Callithrix jacchus: one gene and its partners. The protein of the gene in region 1 interacts with the protein of each later gene in a pairwise test. Links are inferred from orthologs where the notes say so. Each region holds a gene or a part of one and is shown in the gene's direction. Other genes may lie near its edges. The genes, in order: KPNA1, SF1 and ANP32B.

Region 1 (3,651 bases):
CAACCTTTGGTCAATTTACCTTCGTTTTTTTCAATCCCTGTTAAGAATGCTCTTTTAAAAAGTCCTATCTCTGTACTTTGGTTTGGATTTCTCTCATTTATGGGAAGCTCTTATGCTTTGAAGTTGTCATTTCTTTTCATTATATGCTTAACTCCTTTGACCTGCTTAACATTTGATACCTTTTGCTTTTCTCACTGTGCCTGTACATTATGTTTTACACTAACATTTTCTCCCCATTTTACTTTGCCCATTCTACAGAAGTTTTAAAGTTTTTTTTATTAGATAGCATGCATGGTACAGGCCAAAAGGCACATAAGGCTTTCCACTGATAAGTGTTTTTTTCATCCTTGTTCCCTAGTTATCATGACCTTTCCCTGCAGCCAACAAGTATTTAGTTTCCTATAACTCCTTCTAGAGATAATCTGTGCAATTAGTAAGTTAATGCATGTATTCCTTGTAATACTTTTAGAAAATGTGGGGCCGGGTGCGGTGGCTCACACCTGTAATCCCAGCACTTTGGGAGGCCGAGGCGGGTGGATCACGAGGTCAAGAGATTGAGACCATCCTGGTCAACATGGTGAAACCCCGTCTCTACTAAAAATACAAAAAATTAGCTGGGCATGGTGGTGTGTGCCTGTAATCCCAGCTATTCGGGAGGCTGAGGCAGGAGAATTGCCTGAACCCAGGTGGCAGAGGTTGCGGTGAGCTGAGATCGTACCATTGCACTCCAGCCTGGGTATCAAGAGCAAAACTCCGTCTCAAAAAAAAAAAAAAAAAGAAAGAAAATATGGTATAATGTCATATTAATGTACACTGTTTGCATTTTGTTTTCGTTTATATCTTTGCAGATCATTCCATATCAACATTTGTAACACTGTCTCATTCTTTTTATGGTGTCATGTCCACTCTATCTTGAACTGAAATTTCAGACACCCTGAATATTCTTCTAGGTTGAGGTGTTTCTTCTGGAAATTCTTTTAAAATTAATATAGTACTCAACTGATAGGTTATGTGTAAATAATGATCTCAGAATCTTTTTTTACATGTTCAGAAAGAGTTACTGTTATAAGTAAAAAAGCTTTACATTCTCAAAAGATAATGAAAATTATTTTTATCTTTGTAGTTTGAATCAGCTTGGGTACTGACAAATATTGCTTCAGGAAATTCTCTACAGACCCGGATTGTGATTCAGGCAGGAGCTGTGCCCATCTTCATAGAGTTGCTCAGCTCAGAGTTTGAAGATGTCCAGGAACAGGTAAAAATGAAACAGAAAGAAGCAGGTGAAAGAATAACATTTTTCCCTTCAATCATATTCAGGGATTGAGTTTTACCAGTTGGCTTTGATAATCTATGGATTGTCACAAAGGAGTGTTCTAGAAATCTAGTCTTAACCAAATAGAAAATTTCTTAGTGAGTGTAGGCAGAATTTTTCTTAGACACATAAAATAATCTTCCCCTTCCAAACCTGACATTCTTTAAGCCCTGAGTATGTACTTTCTAAACCTTGTAAGCAGTTACTAGTAGAGGTTTTTGCTTGTAGAAATTTCCAGTGTTGAAAGTAGGCCAGGCACTGTGGCTCACACCTGTAATTCCACCACTTGGGAGGCTGAGGTGGGCAGATTGCTTGAGCCCAGGAACTCAACCACTCAGGGCAAAATGATGAAACCTCATTTCCACCGAAAAAAAAAATTAGGTGGGCATGGTGTTGCACACCTGTGGTCCTAGTTACTTGGGAGACTGAGGTGGGAGGTTCACTTGAATGAGCTCCAGGAGGCAGAGAGGCTGCAGTGAGCTGAGATCACAGCACCACACTCCAGCCTCGGTAACAGAAGGAGACCTAGCTCAAAAGAAAGTAGTAAGTTTTTATCACTTTTGTGCAGAAAATAGTTTGTTTCACTGTTTTATTTTGTAAGCCAGAAAAATACCTTTTTTTTTTAATGGAGTCTCTGTCACCCAGGCTGGAGTGCAGTGGCACGATCTTGGCTCACTGCAACCTCTGTCTCTCAGGTTTAAGCAATTCTTGTGCCTCAGCCTCTTCAGTAGCTGGGATTACAGGCATCTGCCACCACACCCGGCTAATTTTGTATTTTTAGTAAAGATGGGGTTTCACCGTGTTTTACTCGATACTGGGTGACAGAGCGAGACTCCGTCACCAAAAAAAAAAAAAAAAGAAAAGAAATTGGTTCTTTCCTTTAATAAACTGAATACCTTTAGTTTATTATACACTTTAGAATATTATTTATCTTCTTCCTCCAACCACACAACTGTTTCATTTGACTCCCTGATGAATGTGTTACTGTGATATACTGGCATCTGAAAGAATTAGAAGGGAGTACATAACTTTTATTAATGATTCTTTCACAGGCAGTCTGGGCTCTTGGCAACATTGCTGGAGATAGTACCATGTGCAGGGACTATGTCTTAGACTGCAATATCCTTCCCCCTCTTTTGCAGTAAGTTTCTTCTTCTTCCTTTTTGACAATAAAAACATAAGAGATTCCTCAGAAAGCAGTGCATCTCTGGAAATCATTTTGGATTTTCTGTTGTTATTTTTCATTCCAGACATTTTCTTGTTTAGATCATTTCCTCAGAAAAAAGGAAAAAACGAGGGGAAAAAAAGATCATTCCCTTAAGCACTCTATCTTTCTCTCATGTCAAAATTCTGAATTACTTGTATCAGAATTAATGAAGTTTTAATGTTCTGGGGAAAAGCTATCTGAAGACATCTCTTTATCAAAAGTACTATTACTTAGTATTTATATTATGTTTTCAGAGAATCAATGTCTATTATATAGTTTACCATTGTACCATCATGCTTATAGGTTATTTTCAAAGCAAAACCGCCTGACCATGACCCGGAATGCAGTATGGGCTTTGTCTAACCTCTGTAGAGGGAAAAGTCCACCTCCAGAATTTGCAAAGGTAAGGACTGTGCTTTTGGGACATTGGCAGAAAAAATGCAATTATAAGAGTATAGCAACCAATAGTAAGGTGAACAGAAAGATAATTTTTGTTAAAACTTAAAATGTTAGAATTTTATCTGTTTTTGGAGAAACAGGGTTTTTGTTTTTTTTTTTGGTTCCCTTTATTATTTGAAAAGCAAATTTAAAGCATAGCTTGAAGATGCACATTTATGTAGGGGCTGCAAATAAATAAAAGCATAGCATAAAGGGAGAATTTGTAAAGCTCATTGAAATGAGACTTCATACAATTAGTATACTGTATTAAGAGACTCTTCAGTTCTCCTAAAACAGTGGTTCTCAAAGTATAGTCTGGGAGTCCATGAGATTTTTTTTTTTTTTTTTTTTTTGCAGTAGGTTTTAGGGGAACAGATCAGGTGTTTGGGTACATGAGTAAGTTGTTTAGTGGTGATTTTTGAGATTTTGGTGCACCCATCACCCAAGCAGTGTACAGAGTACCCACTGTCTAGTCTTGTATTTCTCACCTACCTCTCATCCTTTACCCCAGAATCCCCAAAGTTTATTGTATCAATCTCATGCTTTTGTGCCCTCATAGCTTACATCCCACTTATGAATGAGAACATCTGATGTTTGGTTTTCCATTCCTGAGTTACTTTACTTAGAATAATGGTCTCCAGTTCCATCCAGGTTGCTGCAAATGCCGTTGTTTTGTTTCTGTTTATGGCTGAGC
Region 2 (3,447 bases), on another chromosome or scaffold:
AAAAAAAGAAAAATTCTTTCTGACCAGTTGCAAGTTGGCACTGGATACCAGCACCTTTTTATTCTGGCAAATATGTAAGCTTTTGTTCAGGAAGGTCGTTCGGGCAGTTGGGCCAGTCTTACATAGATTTTCTTTTCTCAAACTGGGAATGAAGTTTGATGGAATTGAGTTGAGAGAACCTGTGCTTCAGTGATGCTTAGGGTCGTCTGTGCTCTTCGCCCAGGGCCTCTGCTCTGGCGATCTCAGATGCAGAACTGGGCACGACACTGAAGATTGTTGAGAGACTGTTGAGAGCCATGTTCAGTAAGGGGTTAGAAAGATGTAATGATCTGATGATTGAATCCTTCAACACTTTCTGTATGTTGGTTTCTCAGGGTAAAAGCTTCCGTAATGAGTTTTTCCACTTTCTCTCTGTCTCCCACCCCACCTCAGGCCTGGTGATCCCCAGTCAGCTCAGGATAAAGCACGGATGGATAAAGAATATTTGTCCCTCATGGCTGAACTGGGTGAAGCGCCCGTCCCAGCATCTGTGGGCTCCACCTCTGGGCCTGCCACCACACCCCTGGCCAGTGCACCTCGTCCTGCTGCTCCCGCCAACAACCCACCTCCGCCGGTGAGCCTGGGGGCAGGTTCTCTTGGTCTGGCTTCCCCATTCTCTTCTGCAGAGACTGGGAGCTATGGCCATGTGCTTTGGGTAGAGCAGATCGATGGATATGGATGGCAACATTGTTCTTCTGGGATCTCAAGCCAATTGGGGACTTTTCTCACTTTGGGAAGACCTCGTTCTTGTGTTCTAGTCCTGTGGCATGAACGGAAGAACAATGTTGCCACCAGGGGGCGCAGGCAGGGACGTTGGCTGGAAATGCTCTCACGTAGTCTCTCATGTCCACCACTCAGAGTCGCCCACCCTGGATGAATTCTGGCCCTTCAGAGAGTCGGCCTTACCATGGCATGCACGGAGGTGGTCCTGGTGGGCCCGGAGGCGGCCCCCACAGCTTCCCACACCCGTTACCCAGCCTGACAGGTGGGCATGGTGGACATCCCATGCAGCACAACCCCAATGGACCCCCACCCCCTTGGATGCAGCCACCACCACCTCCGATGAACCAGGGCCCCCACCCACCTGGGCACCATGGCCCTCCTCCAATGGGTAAGTAAGTGTCAGACCAGAAACCTTGGGGCTTTGGGATAAGCAGGGGGTTGCGTCAGGTCACTGAGCTAGAAGCAGCTCTCAAGTGGCTCGGCAGTGTGCCGGGTCTGCCTGACTTGCCAGGGTTATGGCTCTGGAAGGAGCGAGACTTCATTCTGGTACAGGGAGTGATTCTGTGTCAGCTAGGCACAGACACTGCCTTTTACAGGCATGGTTTTCAGAACTCCTGTAAGGATAGCAACTCAAGTTATCACAGGGGTGGCTTCCCTGGCCAATTCCAATGTCCTGCTAAGTCCCTGCTCTTTCCTTCCATCAAGATCAGTACCTGGGAAGTACGCCTGTGGGCTCTGGGGTCTATCGCCTGCATCAAGGAAAAGGTAATGGCTGTCTGCTGGCTGTGGGTCTTCACCTAGGTTTGGGCACGTGGGGACTGTGGCCCAAATCCCCCCCTTTCCCTAAAGCCTCATCTTTGCCTACACCTACCTGCAGGTATGATGCCGCCACCGCCTATGGGCATGATGCCGCCGCCGCCTCCGCCTCCCAGTGGGCAGCCCCCGCCCCCTCCCTCTGGTCCTCTTCCCCCATGGCAACAGCAGCAGCAGCAGCCTCCGCCACCCCCTCCGCCCAGCAGCAGTATGGCTTCCAGTACCCCCTTGCCATGGCAGCAAAGTGAGTAGAATATTTTGGGCTTGTGGGCGTGGGTGGGATGGGGGTGGGCCTGAGAGGAACCGTAGAGCCTCACACCTCACACAAGCAGGCAGGTGCCTTGGGATGAGCCCCTGAGCTCTGCTGGGGTTGTAAACAGAAAGGGCCTCCTGGTCCGGGGGGTAGAGGGGCATCTTGGAGAGGAGAGCTGATGTTTGGTGTGGTTGTGTCTGGGGAGAGGTTCGTGGGGACCTGGAGGGGAGCCTGCTGTTGTAGGTAGGGGGACAGAAGTCCCGTCCTCACGGGCTGAGTGAGCGGCTGGCTGGACCGAGCCTGGTGCATATGGCCCGAGTGGGATGGTGCATGCTTGCTCTGGCGAGGGCTGTGATTGGGGTGAGAGACTGCAGAGGTGGGACCGGGCAGTGGGGAGAGAGCAGCTGTGGCCTTGAGGTTGAATGTGCCGTTCGGTGGTGGCGGCGGCTGGGCGGAGGGACGTCAGAGCTGTTTTTGTGTCTGGTACCTTCCCCTCAGCCCTTCTAGGGGCATTGGTGACAAAGGGCTTACTCTGTTAAGCCCAGAGACCTCGAGGCTGACCCCAGGGTAGTCCTGCCCACCCCTCCACTCCCATCACCAGCCCCGCCCGCCCGCCCCCCACCACCGTACCGCATGCCAAGCAAGGAGCAGGCGCCCCTCGCCCCCATCCCAAGGCAGCAGCCGCAGACAGCCGCGGTGTGCCCCCGCGCGTGTGACCTTGGGCTTCTTTACCACCCCAGATACGACGACTACCACCACGAGCGCTGGCACAGGGTCCATCCCGCCATGGCAACAGCAGCAGGCGGCTGCCGCAGCTTCTCCAGGAGCCCCTCAGATGCAAGGCAACCCCACTATGGTGCCCCTGCCCCCCGGGGTCCAGCCGCCTCTGCCGCCTGGGGCCCCTCCCCCTCCGCCGCCTCCACCGCCTGGTTCCACCGGCATGATGTATGCCCCGCCCCCTCCTCCTCCGCCTCCCATGGACCCTTCTAACTTTGTCACCATGATGGGCATGGGGGTGGCGGGCATGCCGCCCTTCGGGATGCCTCCAGCTCCCCCACCGCCTCCACCACAGAACTAGACTTGTTTTTTAAGAAAATATATATTATATATAGAGAGAATTGGTCTCGTTTAAACACGCCGAACCTCACCATATGGAGCCAGACATTGGGACGCACGCATGTGATTGTGTGTGCACGCATGTGTGTGTGTGCACGCACGGGGCTGGGCCAAGCGACTGAGGATTCGCTTGGGAATGGGCAGTGGTAGTAGGGGCGCCAGCTTGGGCTCTTCTGGCGCCCCGTAGCATCGAGTGTCTTCTTTGTCTTCTTTCTCTCCTCACCCAACTCCCTTTGCCTCTCCCCAAACCGGGCCGCCAGGATCCCTCCCCGCGGCGGCGATGGCCCGAGCCATGAGAGTGAGGACTTTCCGCGCCCATTGGTGACCCTTCCAGGCAGACAGCCTCAGCAACGCCCCTGGTGGACAGGATGGTTCGGCAAAGCAGCCTGAGTTATTTTTGTGGACGGAATCGGAACACGCTGGCTCCATATCGTGAAATTTTTATTAATTTTTTTCTTTTTCCTTTGTTACTTCCTTATCTCTTCCTTTCTTCAGACTCCGTC
Region 3 (3,651 bases), on another chromosome or scaffold:
TGGGGTTACTCCATGATCATCAGGCTGGTATTGAACTCCCAACTACAGGCATGAGCCACCGCACCCAGCCTAGTTTCTTTTTAATACAGAATTTAAAAAAAAAAAACAATAAATACATGCTTGTAAAAAATTTAATACAAATATAAAAATACAGCAAAGGTCTCTGACATTTCCCATTCCCTTTACCCAGAGTTTACTTTCTGGCCATTTATAGTGTTCCAAGCCCTAGTTCCTACAACTTCATGAGGTAGGTACTGTTATGTCCACTTCATGGGAAACTGAGGCACAGAGAAGTGAAGTGACTTACACAAAGTTGTACAAGTTCTGCGTGGCAGAGGAGAACCAGGATTCGACCCCAGACATCTTGTTTCCAGAGCCCAGCTTTTGTCAGAGTTGACCTATTTTTTCAGATGTGCTCATTTCTTAAAAGGGAAGAATGGCAGAGATATCTAAAGAAAAATGGAAAGAAGGAAGGAAGGGAGGGAGGAAGTATGTGGATGTAAAGAGTAAAATGTATGCCTGGCTTCTGAAGAGGAAGTAGACAGGGTAGTGAGAAGTGGTTAGGCACTTACTATGTTATGGGTATTGCTGACTTGAAATCTGTTTCTTTCTCTATAAATGGGGGAAGGAGAGTGGTGGTAGAAAGAATAAATGTTTACTTCATAATTGAAAGCAATTATTAGAGTAACATCATTGGATTTTGTATGAGAGGATGAGGACATTGTTAATAGCTCCTGTTCTCTTTTCAGAGTATTAGCATCTCCCATATACATGCTTGATTAATGCCATTAAATATGGTAGGTTCACTAAAATTCTTTACAAAGGCATTCCGCCTTTGTTGGTGCAGTTAAAATGGTAATTTGCATCACTGTGAGTAGATCAAAGTGGGCTAAAAAAGTTGCAAGTTTCAGGGTGATCAAGAATGGCAATATGAATTATTGTGGTAGATCTGCATGTAGACTCTTAAATAATCAGTATTCAAAAATTCAAATCATCAGATGTGATGCTTTTTTTTTTTTTTTGAGATGGAGTTCTACTCTGTTGCCCAGGCTGGAGCGTCATGGTGCAGTCTCAGCTAACTGCGCCTCCCGGTTTCAAGCAATTTTCCCGTTGTAGCCTCCCAAGTAGTGAGATTACAGGCACTCGCCATAATACCCGGCTAATTTTTGTATTTCTGTAGAGAGGGGGTTTTACCATGTTGGCCATGCTGGTCTTGAACCCCTGACCTCAGGTGATCCGCCCGCCTTGGTTTCCCAAAGTGCTGGGATTACAGGCGTGTGCCACTGTACCTGGCCAGATGTAGCCTGAAAATGAAAACTTATTATCTAACAATTCTCTAGAAACATCTTTCTCATGTGCAAACCAGATCGATTTTTGTTTTGAATTAAGGACTCTTGCATCCTGATTTCTTCCCGGTGTCAAGATAATCTTGGCAAAGATTAATAAAACCAGAGCTGGAAAGTGTGTTGGTACAGAAATCTCTAGCCAGAATCTCTTAGTGGTCTTGGTAGGAAAAATAAAGCTTTCCTCTTTTCTGTGGTCATCTTCTGGGACTTAAGGTAGATTAGCCTAAAGAGTGTTTTCACTCTGTATTTGCATTTAAATGAAAGCTGCCCTTTGGGGAACAGACTGGGGAAAAGAAATAAGGGGAATACACTTACTTCACTTACATCTAAAGTATAGTGTCCGTTTCTGGAACATGAGTGTTTTATGCTAGTAATATTCCATCTTTGAATCTGTTAGCATATTGCTACTGAAGGCTTAATTATTTTTTATCTTTTTATAACTATGCTCTAAGTCTAAGAGGCTGCCCATATTATATGGGTGTTTTTGCAGGGTATTTATGGTGGAAGTTTTTGCATTCTTTGTTTTCAGAAATTTTTCTGAGAGCTTATTCTTTTTTGTCATCCACAGGTTCGAGAACTTGTCTTGGACAATTGCAAATCAAATGATGGAAAAATTGAGGGCTTAACAGCTGAATTTGTGAACTTAGAGTTCCTCAGTTTAATAAATGTAGGCTTGATTTCAGTTTCAAATCTTCCCAAGCTGCCTAAATTGAAAAAGGTAGGTGCTTTTCCTTTAACAGTAAAAGAGAACAAACCTGGGAAGGGAAAATGTATGATTTTACCTGTAAGGAAGCACTTAGTATAGCAGAAAGCACTTGACCTTTGGAACTGGGCAGATATGGGATGGAATTCCAGCTCTATCATTTCCTTGATGGGTGATCTTCTTCAGGTTACTTAATTTCTCTAAGGCCCAAATTCCTCACCTGTAAACTGGTGGCATTACCTGACCTTGCAGAATTGCTGTGATGTTTGGAAATAATGCATGTCGGGTGCTCAGTAAATAGTTAGGAAGAATAATTACTGTGTTTTGTGAGTAATTTATTTGTTAATTGTTATAAAACCAGTTCTTTATCCTTTCGAAAAAAAGGACCAAATGCTACAGAAAAATGTTTTCTTTTGTCATTGCACATTTAACTGTCACAGAGTCCCAGGACATCAGAATTGGAAAAAACTTTGCTCTTCTAACCCAGCTCCTTATGTTACAGACACAGCAATAGTCCCAGAAAAGTATAGTAATTTGCCTAAAGCCACCCACAGAAACGGTTAGTACTAGAGCCAAAACTAGAACCCATATCTCTCCTAACCTCATACCTTTTCCATTATATAGGAAAAAATGTGTGCTTATATAAGTATTGCAGAATTCTCTGCCATTTCAATATTCACTGTACTAGGAAACTTAAGTTGTACCTTTTTTTGACGAAGTCACACATAGAAGGAAATAAAATCAAACTTAGGTAAAGGTAGGCTGTTCCCAGAGCTTGCTTGTGTTCTGAGAGGGACAGTTAGTTTTTTTTTTGTAATGAAGGTTTTGTTGTTTTGCAGGAAGTGGGATGGGTTAAGTATGATACATGAGGTCGGCGCCATGGCTCACGCCTGTAATCCCAGCACTTTGGGAGGCTGAGACAGGTAGATCACCTGAGATCAGGAGTTCAAGACCCTTCTGGCCAACATGGCAAAACCCCGTCTCTACTAAAAATATAAAAAAATTAGCTGGGCATGGTGGCACGTGGCTGTAGTCCCAGCTACTCAGGAGGCTGAGACACAAGAATCACTTGAACCCAGGCAGCTGAGGTTGCAGAGAGCCGAAATCGTGCTACTGCATTCCAGCAGCAGAGCAAGACTCTGTCTCGATTTTTTTTTTTAAAAAGTATAGTACGTGAATTAAAAACTAGAAGTTTTTTTTTTTTTTTTTTTGGAGACAGAGTTTCACTCTTGTTACCCAGGCTGGAGTGCAATGGCGCGATCTCGGCTCACTGCGACCTCCGCCTCCTAAGTAGCTGGGATTATAGGCACGCGCCACCATGCCCAGCTAATTTTTTGTATTTTTAGTAGAGACGTAGTTTCACCATGTTGACCAGGATGGTCTCGATCTCTTGACCTCGTGATCCACCCGCCTCAGCCTCCCAAAGTGCTGGGATTACTGGCGTGAGCCACCGTGCCCAGCCTGAATTTAAAACTTTTAACATTTAAACATTAATCACTTCTTTTACAGGGCTAATGAGAGGGAATCATACTTAAAGGCAGGTTGAGTGTTCTGATGACTGATAAGGACTTTATTTTCTTCCTATCCCAGAACGTGAACTGT

Evidence for each region.
Region 2: the proteins of KPNA1 (region 1) and SF1 interact in binary tests that used the Homo sapiens proteins (3 or more experiments, as listed by UniProt). The link is inferred for Callithrix jacchus from reciprocal best matches to the Homo sapiens genes KPNA1 and SF1.
Region 3: the proteins of KPNA1 (region 1) and ANP32B interact in binary tests that used the Homo sapiens proteins (3 or more experiments, as listed by UniProt). The link is inferred for Callithrix jacchus from reciprocal best matches to the Homo sapiens genes KPNA1 and ANP32B.

What each region holds. Positions count from the first base shown.
Region 1 is NC_133516.1:80,575,644-80,579,294, forward strand, and holds part of KPNA1 (importin subunit alpha-5), read left to right. Parts: intron 1-1,123; coding exon 1,124-1,255; intron 1,256-2,364; coding exon 2,365-2,453; intron 2,454-2,822; coding exon 2,823-2,922; intron 2,923-3,651. UniProt on the Homo sapiens protein: Functions in nuclear protein import as an adapter protein for nuclear receptor KPNB1. Binds specifically and directly to substrates containing either a simple or bipartite NLS motif.
Region 2 is NC_133511.1:121,835,257-121,838,703, reverse strand, and holds the end of SF1 (splicing factor 1), read left to right. Parts: intron 1-432; coding exon 433-613; intron 614-876; coding exon 877-1,150; coding exon of another isoform or gene 1,151-1,154; intron 1,155-1,467; coding exon 1,468-1,527; intron 1,528-1,639; coding exon 1,640-1,819; intron 1,820-2,568; coding exon 2,569-2,906; 3' UTR 2,907-2,946; downstream 2,947-3,447. UniProt on the Homo sapiens protein: Necessary for the ATP-dependent first step of spliceosome assembly. Binds to the intron branch point sequence (BPS) 5'-UACUAAC-3' of the pre-mRNA. May act as transcription repressor.
Region 3 is NC_133502.1:146,121,356-146,125,006, forward strand, and holds part of ANP32B (acidic leucine-rich nuclear phosphoprotein 32 family member B), read left to right. Parts: intron 1-1,914; coding exon 1,915-2,064; intron 2,065-3,651. UniProt on the Homo sapiens protein: Multifunctional protein that is involved in the regulation of many processes including cell proliferation, apoptosis, cell cycle progression or transcription.